Linked DNA regions of Struthio camelus. The protein of the gene in region 1 purifies or fractionates together with the protein of each later gene. This does not show direct contact. Links are inferred from orthologs where the notes say so. Each region holds a gene or a part of one and is shown in the gene's direction. Other genes may lie near its edges.

What was found.
Region 2: the proteins of CTBP1 (region 1) and ZNF217 purify together in Homo sapiens (affinity purification with mass spectrometry; 10 studies listed by BioGRID and IntAct, counting the BioPlex papers as one, with this or other methods). This does not show direct contact. The link is inferred for Struthio camelus from reciprocal best matches to the Homo sapiens genes CTBP1 and ZNF217.
Region 3: the proteins of CTBP1 (region 1) and MECOM purify together in Homo sapiens (affinity purification with mass spectrometry; 6 studies listed by BioGRID and IntAct, counting the BioPlex papers as one, with this or other methods). This does not show direct contact. The link is inferred for Struthio camelus from reciprocal best matches to the Homo sapiens genes CTBP1 and MECOM.

The regions. Positions count from the first base shown.
Region 1 is NC_090945.1:79,523,025-79,526,766, forward strand, and holds the start of CTBP1 (C-terminal-binding protein 1), read left to right. Parts: upstream 1-1,338; 5' UTR 1,339-1,446; intron 1,447-3,742. Other genes in the region: E3 ubiquitin-protein transferase MAEA, read right to left, coding at 512-580. UniProt on the Homo sapiens protein: Corepressor targeting diverse transcription regulators such as GLIS2 or BCL6. Has dehydrogenase activity. Involved in controlling the equilibrium between tubular and stacked structures in the Golgi complex.
Region 2 is NC_090959.1:11,537,224-11,540,965, reverse strand, and holds the start of ZNF217 (zinc finger protein 217), read left to right. Parts: upstream 1-1,023; 5' UTR 1,024-1,180; intron 1,181-1,345; exon of another isoform or gene 1,346-1,458; intron 1,459-1,617; exon of another isoform or gene 1,618-1,823; intron 1,824-2,000; exon of another isoform or gene 2,001-2,046; intron 2,047-2,868; exon of another isoform or gene 2,869-2,981; intron 2,982-3,742.
Region 3 is NC_090950.1:28,166,305-28,170,046, forward strand, and holds the start of MECOM (histone-lysine N-methyltransferase MECOM), read left to right. Parts: upstream 1-722; 5' UTR 723-904; coding exon 905-941; exon of another isoform or gene 942-945; intron 946-3,742.

The DNA.
Region 1 (3,742 bases):
CCGTGATTCACACGCCCCTACACCCCCTGCCCCAGCCGGACTCCATCCTCACCCCTCACCTCGCCCTGTCACCCCAGCTCAGCCGTGACTTGCCCTCTCCCCCCAACCCCGAGCAGCTCCGCCGGCTCTCGGTGACCCCCGGTTTTGTGGCCGGTGCGGCTCGGGGCCTTCCCCGCTCACCTCAGGGCACGGAGGCCCCCGGCAGCAGCAGCAGCACCATATTCCAGGCACGTCCCTCACCCACGGCGCAGGGGGAAGGGGGCGGGGGGAGGCACAAACCGCGGCGCTGCGAGCCCCGAGGGCCGGCGGCGAGGCAGAGGGCGGCGGGAGAAGTGCGTGTGGGGACCCGCCGCCGCCCCCCGAGGGGCGCCTGAGCCGGGCAGCGGCCGGGGCGGGGGAACGAGGGGGGGGGGGGCAAGGCCGCCGCTCCCGCCCCGCCGAGACGCTGGCCGAGGCTCGGCCCCTTCTCCTCCGTGCGTGTGGCGGCGGCGGGGAGAAGCTCGGCACCCACCTTGAGAGTGGGATACTCCTGCACCTTCAAAGTCATTGAGAGCTGAGCAGCTGATTCCTGCACCGCCATCTTGGACTAGGCATCAACCTCCTCCCTCCTTCCCCGCCCCCCCCCCCGCCCGGACCAAAGGGAGCTACCTACAGCGCGCGCGGCATGACGGGCAATAAAGGCCTTCCTCCTCGCCATCCCTAATGGAGACGGGCCGAACCAACGGTGCTCGCTCCTGCCGCCGGCCCGCCCCCCTCTCCTCTCTCCCCACCCCCCCCGCCGCGTGGTACGCTCCACGGGACGGTAGTGGCGGAAGAGCGACAGCGGGGCAGACAGGCGCCAACCAATGACGGCGGGCCTTCTGCACGTTCCTTTGACACCGCCTCCGCGCTTGAGATGCCACGCCTGATTGGGCAAGCTGTGGAAATGGGCGGGACCGACCGGCAGCGCGGACAAATCAAGTGGGATGACGCCATGCCTCCGGGCGGGACTTTTAGTGGTGATTGACGCGCAGCCGCCCAGCCGCGGTGGAGAGGCTTTCCCCTGGCCCAATCAGAATCTCCTGTAGCCCAAAGTGGGTGGGACCTAAAAAGTAAATTTCGATGGTGACTTAAAACGGCCGTTATAACAACCCCCCGAGGTGTCCGGGAAGGAGAGGGGCGGGACGAGGGGCGGGGCCTATGCGCAGAGCCACTTGACAGGCAAGCGGCCGAGCCAATGGTTTCGCGCAGCCCAGCTGACGGGCACGGAGTCGAGCGAATGGGCGGCGCGGTTGGGGCGAGCGGGCGGGGCGGCGGCGGTGGCGGCGGCCGGGCGTGCGGGCCGTGTGTATATTGGCCGGGGGGAGGGGAGGGGGCCGGCCCCTAGTAAGTTCCGCGGGGAGGAGAGAGCGAGTGAGAGTCAGTGAGGCGGAGGCGGCGGGAAGAGGTTTAAATAGCGGAGACAGCGTGAGTCCCCTTCCCCTCAGCTCCCTCTGCCCGGCTCGCAGCCGCCCGCCTCGGTTTCCCTCCGCCAGCCCGCTGCGGAGCCAACGCTGCCCTCCGCGGCGGGGAGGCCCCGAGGGGCCGCCCTCCCCCGCCGGCTGCGGCCGGGCCGGGCCGGCGCTAACTTTGCGCAGCGGGGCGGGAGCGGCTCCCCCCCCTCCTCCTCCTCCCTCTTCCTCCCCCTTCCCTCTTCCTCCGCCGCCCGCCTCGGCAGCCGGGCTGGTCGCGCCTTCCCTGGAGGGCGGCGAGGGGGGTTGGCGGCCCCCCGGGCCGTCGCCATCGGGGAGCGAGGCCGGGCCGCCTCCCGCGGTCCCCTCAGGAGGGAGGAGGCGGCGGCGGCCACCGGAGGAGCCGCCCCCACCGGCAGCTGCCGCGCCGCGTTATGGGTTTAGATTAGTGATTTTCACCTACCTCCCCCCCCCCCCAACCGCTTTCGCTTGGCCGTTTCCCGGCTGTGTTTGGATGGAGTCGTGGGTCTGCCTCTGGCCGGCTTAACGCTGCTCGTTCGCCCCGGTGACAGCTGTGCGGTGCCTCAGAGGGGTCCGCAGCTCCCCCAGGAGTCGCCGGGTCACGGGATGAAAAGGACTGGTTTAAAGGAGAAGTGAGGGTGCTGGGTGTGTGTGGAAAGGGCCTGATCCTGCCGACCGCCCCGACTTTATGTGTCTGAGGGAATAAAAGCGCTCGTGAAACTGTTGGCTTCTTTGCAGCACCCGGCATATGAGGTTTTGTATTAATCCTCAGAGCGTCGATATAAAAGTTAACGTGGAGAGGGAGGTGTTTTGGGGGTTCAAAACCGCATGACTTTCGTCCTCCTCTTTGGCATCCTGCGCGGAGTTTCTCACCGCCTTGGTGGGTAAGACGGAAGGCGCTGTGTGAGCGAGACCGCGGAGGTGCTGGGTGTGCAGCGCAGCACCGCAGAAGGGGTGACGTACCGATCGGAGGTCGCGCGTGGAGCGCTGCGACCTCCTTTCTGATGTCGTCGAAGCCAGCGACAGAGTTCCCCTTTCTCGTGAAAGTTCTCGCCTTGGTGATGGGCTATGCTTTAGGTAGTGTGCTTTTGTGGGTTAAGGCTTTAAGAAAACCCCTAAACCTTTATACACTAGTAGCTGTGATATTTTTGTTGTCTTTCCTAAACTTTGTGGCTATGTTGCTTCTGGACTGCAGAAGACTGTAGAAAAAGAAACACAGATATTTCCAGAAAGGTCAACACACTTTGATAGTTTGAGAGAGCAAGGCTTCTTTAACTAAGACATGTTTGTAGAATATTTAGTAACGTTCATTTCTAATTTACATAGGGCCAGTTGCACTGAAAACATGTATCTGGCACAAAGGGCTGATGGTGAATAAAAGAAAATGCGTGAACTCCTGTAGCTGAGTGTTCCCTTCAGATCTGGACTGCAAACTGTCTACTTGTGTTTACTCTGAGCTGCATTGCTGCCCTAGCATTGTCTGGTATTGACCATAATCAGCAAATGTATGCCTAAATGTAATTTGCCAAGCCCACACCAGGTGCAAAGCCTTTGTTTAAAAGTATATTGGTAAAATCATTTGTATTAGTTGCACCTGGGTTTGACATTCATGCCTAGACATGATCTTGGGGCCAGATTCTGCAAGAGGATTTGTGTAAGGAGGATTTTGACTCCATGAGGGTGCTGTGCAGGGGATGGTTTACCTGATCTCACTGAGTGGAGGACTGGAAACTTAGTTCAATTGGTGCTGTGTTTTGCAGCGTGCTTATGTAGCATTTTAAGATCTTCATATTGTATTTGCGTAGTCTATTTTAAATAGTCTGTAAATAGAAAATGTCCTTCTAAATATTAGCTTAATATTCCATATCATTAATGTTACTAAACTGCTTGAACTTGGCACTTTTTAACTCTTTAGGCCCATGTGTAACATTGGTAGTGATTGAACATGTGTGCCTTTCCATGTAATTTACTAAGTTGTGTATATTTATGTCCAAAAATCTTATTCACATCATATTTTTGATGGGTAATATCCTCAATGGTGCTCTTCGATAAGAGAGTAGCTAATTTAATGTAGCCTAAATAAGAGATGATTCCTTTGGTACAGTTTTGTGCTCAGACTGGGTCAGTCTTTACAGTGGAGAATTATTGGTGAAGGTTTGTCAGACATTAGTAGCCAAAGTTGAAGGGTTTGCCTAATGGAACAGATGGCCAAGCAACCATCATGTCAGAGAAAACAGCATGTATTCCATGTATTCTTAGTTTAACACAAGAGGGAGCATGTCTAATCTTTA
Region 2 (3,742 bases), on another chromosome or scaffold:
TCAATTCAAAACTCTCAGTGAGGACAGCAGCAGCAGGAGCAAGATCCCATGTCTGAAAACCTATATAGGAGCAGACTACTGCAAGGAGAAACCCCGTGGTCTTGCGTCACACAGCTGACTCACAGGGATGTATTTTAACTTCCAGGGAAGTGGTAAGGGTGCACCACCTACCTCTATGACTAGTTGAGGGGCCAGGTCTTCAAGATATAAATTTTAAAAGTTTGGTCTTGTGGCAAGTTTTGGTCTTTTTTTCATTAAAGAATTTTGTTTCAAGTTAGCGTGATGGAAGATTCAAATTTGCCAATAAAGATACTTCATCTCCCTGAATTATTATGTGGCGAGAAAGTATTACCACATTTTGTCATGTTTTTGATTAATCTTTATTTGCCATGTAAGTGACCAAAAATTCCCTCCGAGTAGTGTTTCTCATTTTACACTGGGAAAAGAGTCTGAAAAAAGTTAAAAAATTAAAAAAACACCTAATCTGAGAGGCAATTATTTTAGAGATTTCCTCCTTTCAGGCAGGGTGATTTTTACATTGAAGCCAATGAGCCCGCGGGCGCCATCTAAACCTGATGATGTTAAACTAAACTGACTTTAACAAGTCTCTATGTATCTTTGGGTGAAAAGCAAGGAGAGACCACATGGAAACTCCCCTCTTTCTTATCCTATTTACTGGAGGAAGGTGCTAACCTTCTTCAGGGTCTAGGAGAGGCTGTTAAGTGCTTTGCTAACTGAATTACAGATCCCATTTACCTTTAACTCCTGCAAAGCTCCTCAGTTGCAACCGAAAGGCTTAAAAATATTATTTTAACTCTTCCTCTGCTGCGTTTAACGCCACTCCAGCACCCAGGCTAATATACCTTTAGGGAAGTAACGCTATGGCAGAGGGGACGGCTGAGCGCTTCCGACAACGACTGCCAGATGCAAGAAACACGAAATATCAGAAATCCCCATCCTTTTCGGTGAGGGTTACCGTCCCCCCCAATAACCTCGCGCCAGCAGCGCCCTCCAGCCTGTGACAACAGCTGGCAGCAAACTGTCTGCCTGTTTCTGCCGCGGCCGTTTCCCCTCCTCCCGCGGCAACCTCTCCATGTGCTGGAAACACGCATTTAAGCGGAGCGCTCCGCAGCGGCTAGAGGTCATCTGGGCTCCTGAAAGCACGACCGAGAAAAGACGGGTCAGGCTATTTTACTCCCCCCCCCCCCCCAAGCGACGCACAAAAGGGGAGCGGCGAGGAGCGCTTCCCCGGCGCAGGGCCGCTCCTTCCATGCGCAAAGGCGGGCGGCGGGCCGGGCCCAGGCGCTGGCCGCGGCCCTGCCCGGGCCGGGCGGGGGGGGGGTGGGGGCGAACCGCCCTTTTCTGCCCTTTGTCGTGCGGGGAGATAACTACCGGCCCACCGCGCCGGGCGGCAACGCGCCTCAGCTCGCCCGTGCTTTCTGAGGGGAAGGAGTACAAGTAAGTGAGGCCGCTTCCCCCCCCCGCGCGGGCGGGCGGGCGGGCGGGCGGACCGCGGCCCCCACAAACTCCCCTCACGTTATTTAACCCCGGGGCCGGTGCCGGTTCCCGCGGGGCGGGGCCGGGCCGGGCGGGGGCGGGGCCGGGCCGGGCGGGGGCGGGGCCGGGGCGGGGCGGCGGAGCCCGAGTAACAGCTGCGGCGGGAGCGATTTACAAACAGTGCCCCGAGCGCCAGCGCCGCCACTCCGGGCTCCGGCGGCACCGCGGGCGGCCGCCCTGCTTCCCTCCTCCTCCTCCTTCCTCCTCCTCCTCCTCCCTGCTGCCCCCACCTCAGGATGCCGGCCGGGCAGGCGGCTCAGGCGCAGGTGAGGGAGGGCGGGCTGAGGGTCGGCTCGGCTCGGCTCCCTCCGTGCGCAGCAGGCTGAGGGGGGGAGGGGGGGGCGCCCGCTGTGAGGGAGGTGGGGGGAGGCGTCCACCCCCCCCTTCCACCCCCCCCTTCCACCCCCCCCTTCCACCCCCCCCCCGGCCTTTCCCCTCAGAGCGGGGCCGCCCATCGCCGTGGTGTCCCGGCGCCGCTGCCCGCCCAAGGTGGGGGGGGGGGGAGCGGAGGAGGGAGGCAGGTGCGCGGGGGCGGCTGGGGAGGGGGCCAGGTGCGCGGTGCCCCGGCTCTTCCCTCCCGTCGCCTCCTCTGGGGGGCGCCTCAGCCGCCCCCCCCCCCCGGCCACCACCACCCCTCAGCCGGGGGGCGGGAAGGAGCCGCGGCAGGTAACGCGCCCCCCCTCCGGGGCTGGGGGCGCCTCTCCCCCCCCGCGGTGGAGCCCGCGCCGTGCCCGGCACCCCCCCCCCCCCCCCCCGCGAATAGGTGTCTCCAGCTCCCATTGTGCACCTGGGTTTTGGCTTTCAAACACACAAAACGGCGACTTTCTGGGGGGGGGTGCCTCTGCTTTATTTGTACACCCCCCCTCCCTCCGGGTAAGGGAGGGGGAGAAGCGGGAAGAGGCTATTTCTTTGTGAGTCTAAGATGTTCCTGGCGGAAGGACTGGTAGTAGGTGGCTCGTGCTTGGATTGGGGGGGGGGTTAATGAAAACTTTATTGATCCGCTTTGCCAGGTTTTGTTTCGTTTGTCTCCCTCTTCCAGAGCCCAAAGTCTTCCTGATCGTGTCTTTGGCATCGTGGTATCGTGTTTCTCTCTCTTTCTCTCTCTCTCTCTCTTTTTCTTTTATTTTTTTGTTTTTAAGGGCAATAGGAAGTTTAGAAAAACAAACAAATAAGCCTCAACTGACTCCAGCAGCAACAAAAGACGTTGCCAAGCGAGGACAATAAAATTCTAGAATACCTCGAGGTTGGGTTTCGGGCCCTTGTGCGCGGTGCCCGGCGGAGCGGCTGCGGTGGGTGCGCGAGGAGCGGGGGGGGGGCGGGTGTTTATTCCGCCCGCAGAAAACCTGCGGCCGGAGCGAGCCCTGGGCGGCGTGCGCCGAGCGCCCGGCCCGTCCCGCGCAGCCCAGCGCCCTCCCAGCCTCCCCGTAAGTATTTGGGTTGGAGCGTACTAGTTCTGAAGTGGTGGGGAACGAAAAATCTCTCTGCTGGGGTTATTGATCCGGTGATGAGAGGCGTTTGAATTTGAAAAGGGTTTAGTTTAGGGCTTTTGTGTGTTTAAAGTTTTTTTTTTTTTAAGCAACTTTTTTTTTTTTTTAATTCTGAAATGACCTTGAGAGCTTTGAAACTACACCAGTTTCTACCAGTGGGTTTGAGGGGGAGGCAGCAGCAGAAGGATCTAGTGAAAATCGAAAATAGAAATAGGAACTGAAGTAGATGCAGTGAAATGTTTTCTTATAGAACTATGTGAAAAGGGAAGTTTTTGTAAGAATGTGTGAAAAAGGAGAGAGGGAAATAACGCAGTTTCAGATGCAAGGGGAGAGAGAGCATATCATTCCTCACATTTTATTAGGCCCTGAAATGCAGGAGTGATATGATCTGGAAGACACAGAAATAAAACGCCTAACTGCAAGTTGAATAGCAGGCATTGACTTGCTGACCAGCGCTTACATGCGTGGTGGGGGCTGGTTTTTGTCTGCTAAGGTATCAGAGCACAGTGCTATGACAATGGCTTGCAAATGCTTTAACGCCATGTTTTATTGCTCTTATGAGCTCTCATTAACTGTAGGTTTGGGAATACGACTAATACTTTTAATTTGTGATGTCTTCACCAAGATTTAAGCCTTTCCTTGGATAATAGAAAGGGACAGTTTCAAATAAGTAGGATAAACTGCATTCTTTGGCAGAG
Region 3 (3,742 bases), on another chromosome or scaffold:
TATGTAGTTTGGATTGATTCATACCTCGGACACAGCCATCCCCTAAAGGAGTTCCCAATTTCAGCACGCTCTCTCTTTGATTGGCAAGCCCTGTAATTAAAACAGATTAGAGCGGTCGGTGTTACTGTTTTAAAAGCACTTTTTCTGCCCAACTGGTGGTAGCTGAGCCGAGTTCAAGGTGGGGAAAGTGGGTGCGCTGGAGAAGTGTACAATTTAATGATATGCATACATAATCAAACTATATCTCCCCGTCTATATATACGCAGAGATCTATGATAATTGCGGCCGGATGAGAATACACTACTTAAATGTTGCAAAGACGCCAGAGCAGCATTAATATTATATAAAAAGCCAGCAAGAAAGCGTAATTTATTCCACTCTCCTACTCTTGCCACGGCGGGAGCAAAAGAGACTTCTCCCGCTGTAAAGACTCGCGGGCGCGCCGGCACGCGGAGCGCGCTGCCCGCCGCGGCGGCAGCACCCCCGCGCCGCGGCCGCGCTCTCGGTGGCGGCTCCCCGCGGCACGGGGCAGGGGCCGCTGGCGCAGCGCGCCCCGTGCGCCGGCGGGGCGGCGGGCGGCGCCGGGGGAGCAGGCGCGGCGGCCCCGGCGCGGCCCGGCCCCGGTGCCGGCTGTCAGGGTCCCCACCGGCGGTGATGGATCGCTGCAAACTTTTTTTGGCGGCGCTGAAATGTTGAAGAGCGGGGGGGAGCCGCCCGTGCGCATGTGCGAAGGTGTCCAAACTGACAATGCTGGAGAGATAGCGAGCCGGGATTGAGAGAAAGGGAGAGTGTGTGTGCGGGAGAGGGAGAGGAGAGAGGGAGAGGGGGAGCGAAAAAGGAGGAAAAGCTCCAGGAGGAAAAAAAAAAAGGCCCCCCCGCCAGCATCGGCCGCGGGACTGGCAGCATGCGATCCAAAGGCAGGGCAAGGAAGCTGGCCGCAAGTAGGTGCAATACCCCTTTCTCTTGGCTTTTCACCCTCGCTCTCTGCCATGTTGCATGATATGTCTGATGCGCCGCGGAGCTCGCAGGCAACCTGCCGCATCCCCGGCCCGGCCCGGCCCCGGCCTTAGCCCCGGAGCCGTCCCGGCGGGCGGCGGAGCATCCCGGGCGCGGGGGGCCGAGGGCCACGGCCGCCGGGAGCCGGCCTGGGGGCTGCGGGGCGCCCGGCGGGAGGTGGGGAAGGAGTTGAGGAAAAGTTCAGTGGCGAGCGCTGGAAGTTGCTGCTGCTGCCGGGGGCTGGAGGGGGGGGTCGAAGGGGGGGTTGCGAGAGGCTCCGGGCCCTATAGTGGGCGCTGTCGGCTGTCTGCAAGGGCTGGGGGCCGTGTGTGTGTGTGTGTGTGTGTGCGTGTGTGTGTATATGTGTGTGTGTGTGTACATCCATGCACACGGGAGGGTGGGGAGGGGGGAGCCAGCGGCAGGTCTGCTCCAGGCTGCGGGGGAAGGCGGCGAGTCTCGGGAACAAGTTGCCGGTGCAGAGCTCGCGGGGACCCCCCTGGCCCTGCCCGCCTCGAGGGCTGGTCGGCTGCCGGCTTGTGCCAGAAAAATATTAAAAAACAATATATATGTTTATATATGCGTAGCCGGGTAAAATCAAGCCAAAGCGGACACGGGAGCGGCGCACGCGTGGGGAGCCCGCTGTGCTGCAAGGAGGCTGTGCACGGGGGAGCCCTGGTGGTCCCCAGCGCGCAGCCCCGCAGGCGCTGTCAGCGCAGCGCGGAGCGGTGCGGTCGCAGCGCGGAGCCGGGGCGGCCCCCGCGGGAGGGGCCGGCGGCGGGGCCGGGCGCGGGGCAGCGGGGCCAGCGGGAGCCGCCCGCCGCCGCCCCGCTCCGCCGGGATGCGCCGGGTGGACGCGTGGAAGGGGCCGCGCCGGGGGGAGCGGGGCCGCCGGACACCGCGGAGCAGTTCCCAGCCTGCTGGAGTCACCCGTTAAAAGTTGATCTAAATGTTGTAATTTCAGGCGCCTTTCCAGCACTTTTTATACAGTTTGGCCGCCCAAAGGTCTCTATTCTGCTAGGCTAGGTCTCAGCCATCGACACGCAAATGCCGATTTATTTAATTATTTGTCTTACGCTCACTCCATCTGTTTCTCCTTTATGATAGGGATCTTTGCTTTTAACTGCAGCAGTGTTTTTAAAAAAGAGGGAAGCAACAACAAAACTTCGCCAGCTTTCGCGTCCTATTTTAAAAGCAGCTGATGTCTTTATTTTCACTGACACATCTGGGCAAGCTTCGCTTGAAATTCATGCCGATTGCAGCTTACATTCTCGACTGAAAAAATGGGCAGGCAAAAAAAAAGTCAGATGAAATGTTGCATAAGTTGCGTGACGTAAAAAGCAGATGCTTATTTACTCTTTATTTGTTAAGGGAAAAAATAGAGCAGCGTGGAAAAGGGGAAGCAAAATATCTCTGGATCATCATCAGCTTTTCTTTGAAGCTTAACAATAACAGCAACAACCTGCATTTGATTAGGTGATTTAAAAGTGGATAATCCAGCGCAAGGCGATTTGAATACAAATATGTTATTAAATCTCCAGGTTGCCAACCTTACTTTTGGGCTAATTATGTAAAAAGAGTGACACGTCCCCTACCAAACCGTCAGGATTTCTTTTCTTTCCCTTCCTTTTCTTTCATGTATAACGTTGCAAGGCTGCTCTTGCTGCCGCTGCTCTGCAGGGATAGATTTGGCCATTTACACAAAAAAAAAGTTTCTTCTTTGGGCTGCATGTCTTGGCTTTCGCTGCTGCAACAGCAGTTTCCCCCAGACAGATGCGTTGCATTATATAATCCTTCAGTTACAATCCGCTCATAAAGGAAATCATATTTAAAAAGCTGGGATTTTTGTATTTTGAAACACTGTTTCTTTTCCCCTGAAGAGCGTCTCAGTTTCATGGCAAGTGGAAGGAGGGTTGTAGGCGACCCTGGAATTTAGTCGTTCAGCAAGAAAAGTTTTCAGTTTTTCAATTCGTTCTTTCTGGGCTGTGAATAGAAAATGTTTTGTAGCCTTCACGCTATTACATGGAAAATCATATAAATTGGGATCAAATGCAATTCTTTTATTATTTCACTTTTACTTCTTTGTGCGTGAAGTAAAAAACGCCCCGATTGTGTGATTTTTCGCTAGTATTCAGGAAAGCTTTTTGCTTGCAATTAAGGGAGAATACCTGAAGAGCGCAATTTCTTAGCCTCTGTGTAAAATTGAAAAAATAATTTAAAGGATCCCCTCCCCCCCAAAAAAAAATCAGAAAAAACAAAAGAAGCCACGCTGGGAGTAGCCAGTTAATTTTCTAAATGCTCGGCTGCAAAAATAAGGGAGAAGACGAGGTAAAATCTTTCTCTCTCCCACACTTTTGGAAGGCAGGCTGCTGAGGAGCGGTGTGCGGAGCGCGGCCCGGCGGCGCGGCAGAGCGGGGCCGGCGTGCGGGGCCCGGCCGCCCGCAGCCGCGCTGCACCTGTGCGGCGGCCCCGCTCCGAGCTCCGCTGGGGCAGGACCCCTGCACCCGGGGCAGCTGCTCTTCTGCTCTGCTGAGTTTGTGCCCGCCTGATGAAATCGTATCCCTGAATAACCCCCGCCCCAGCACGGGTCCGCCGCAAGCCCGCACGCTGCCGGATCCCTGCAGCCAGCCTAGGGGTAGCCCCGAGCCACCCAGTAGCCTCATAAAGAGACAGAAGGTGATCAGATTAGGGGAACACACGTGAATAAGGAGGCACTTGTTACTTTTACACTTTATCACCACTTTTTTAC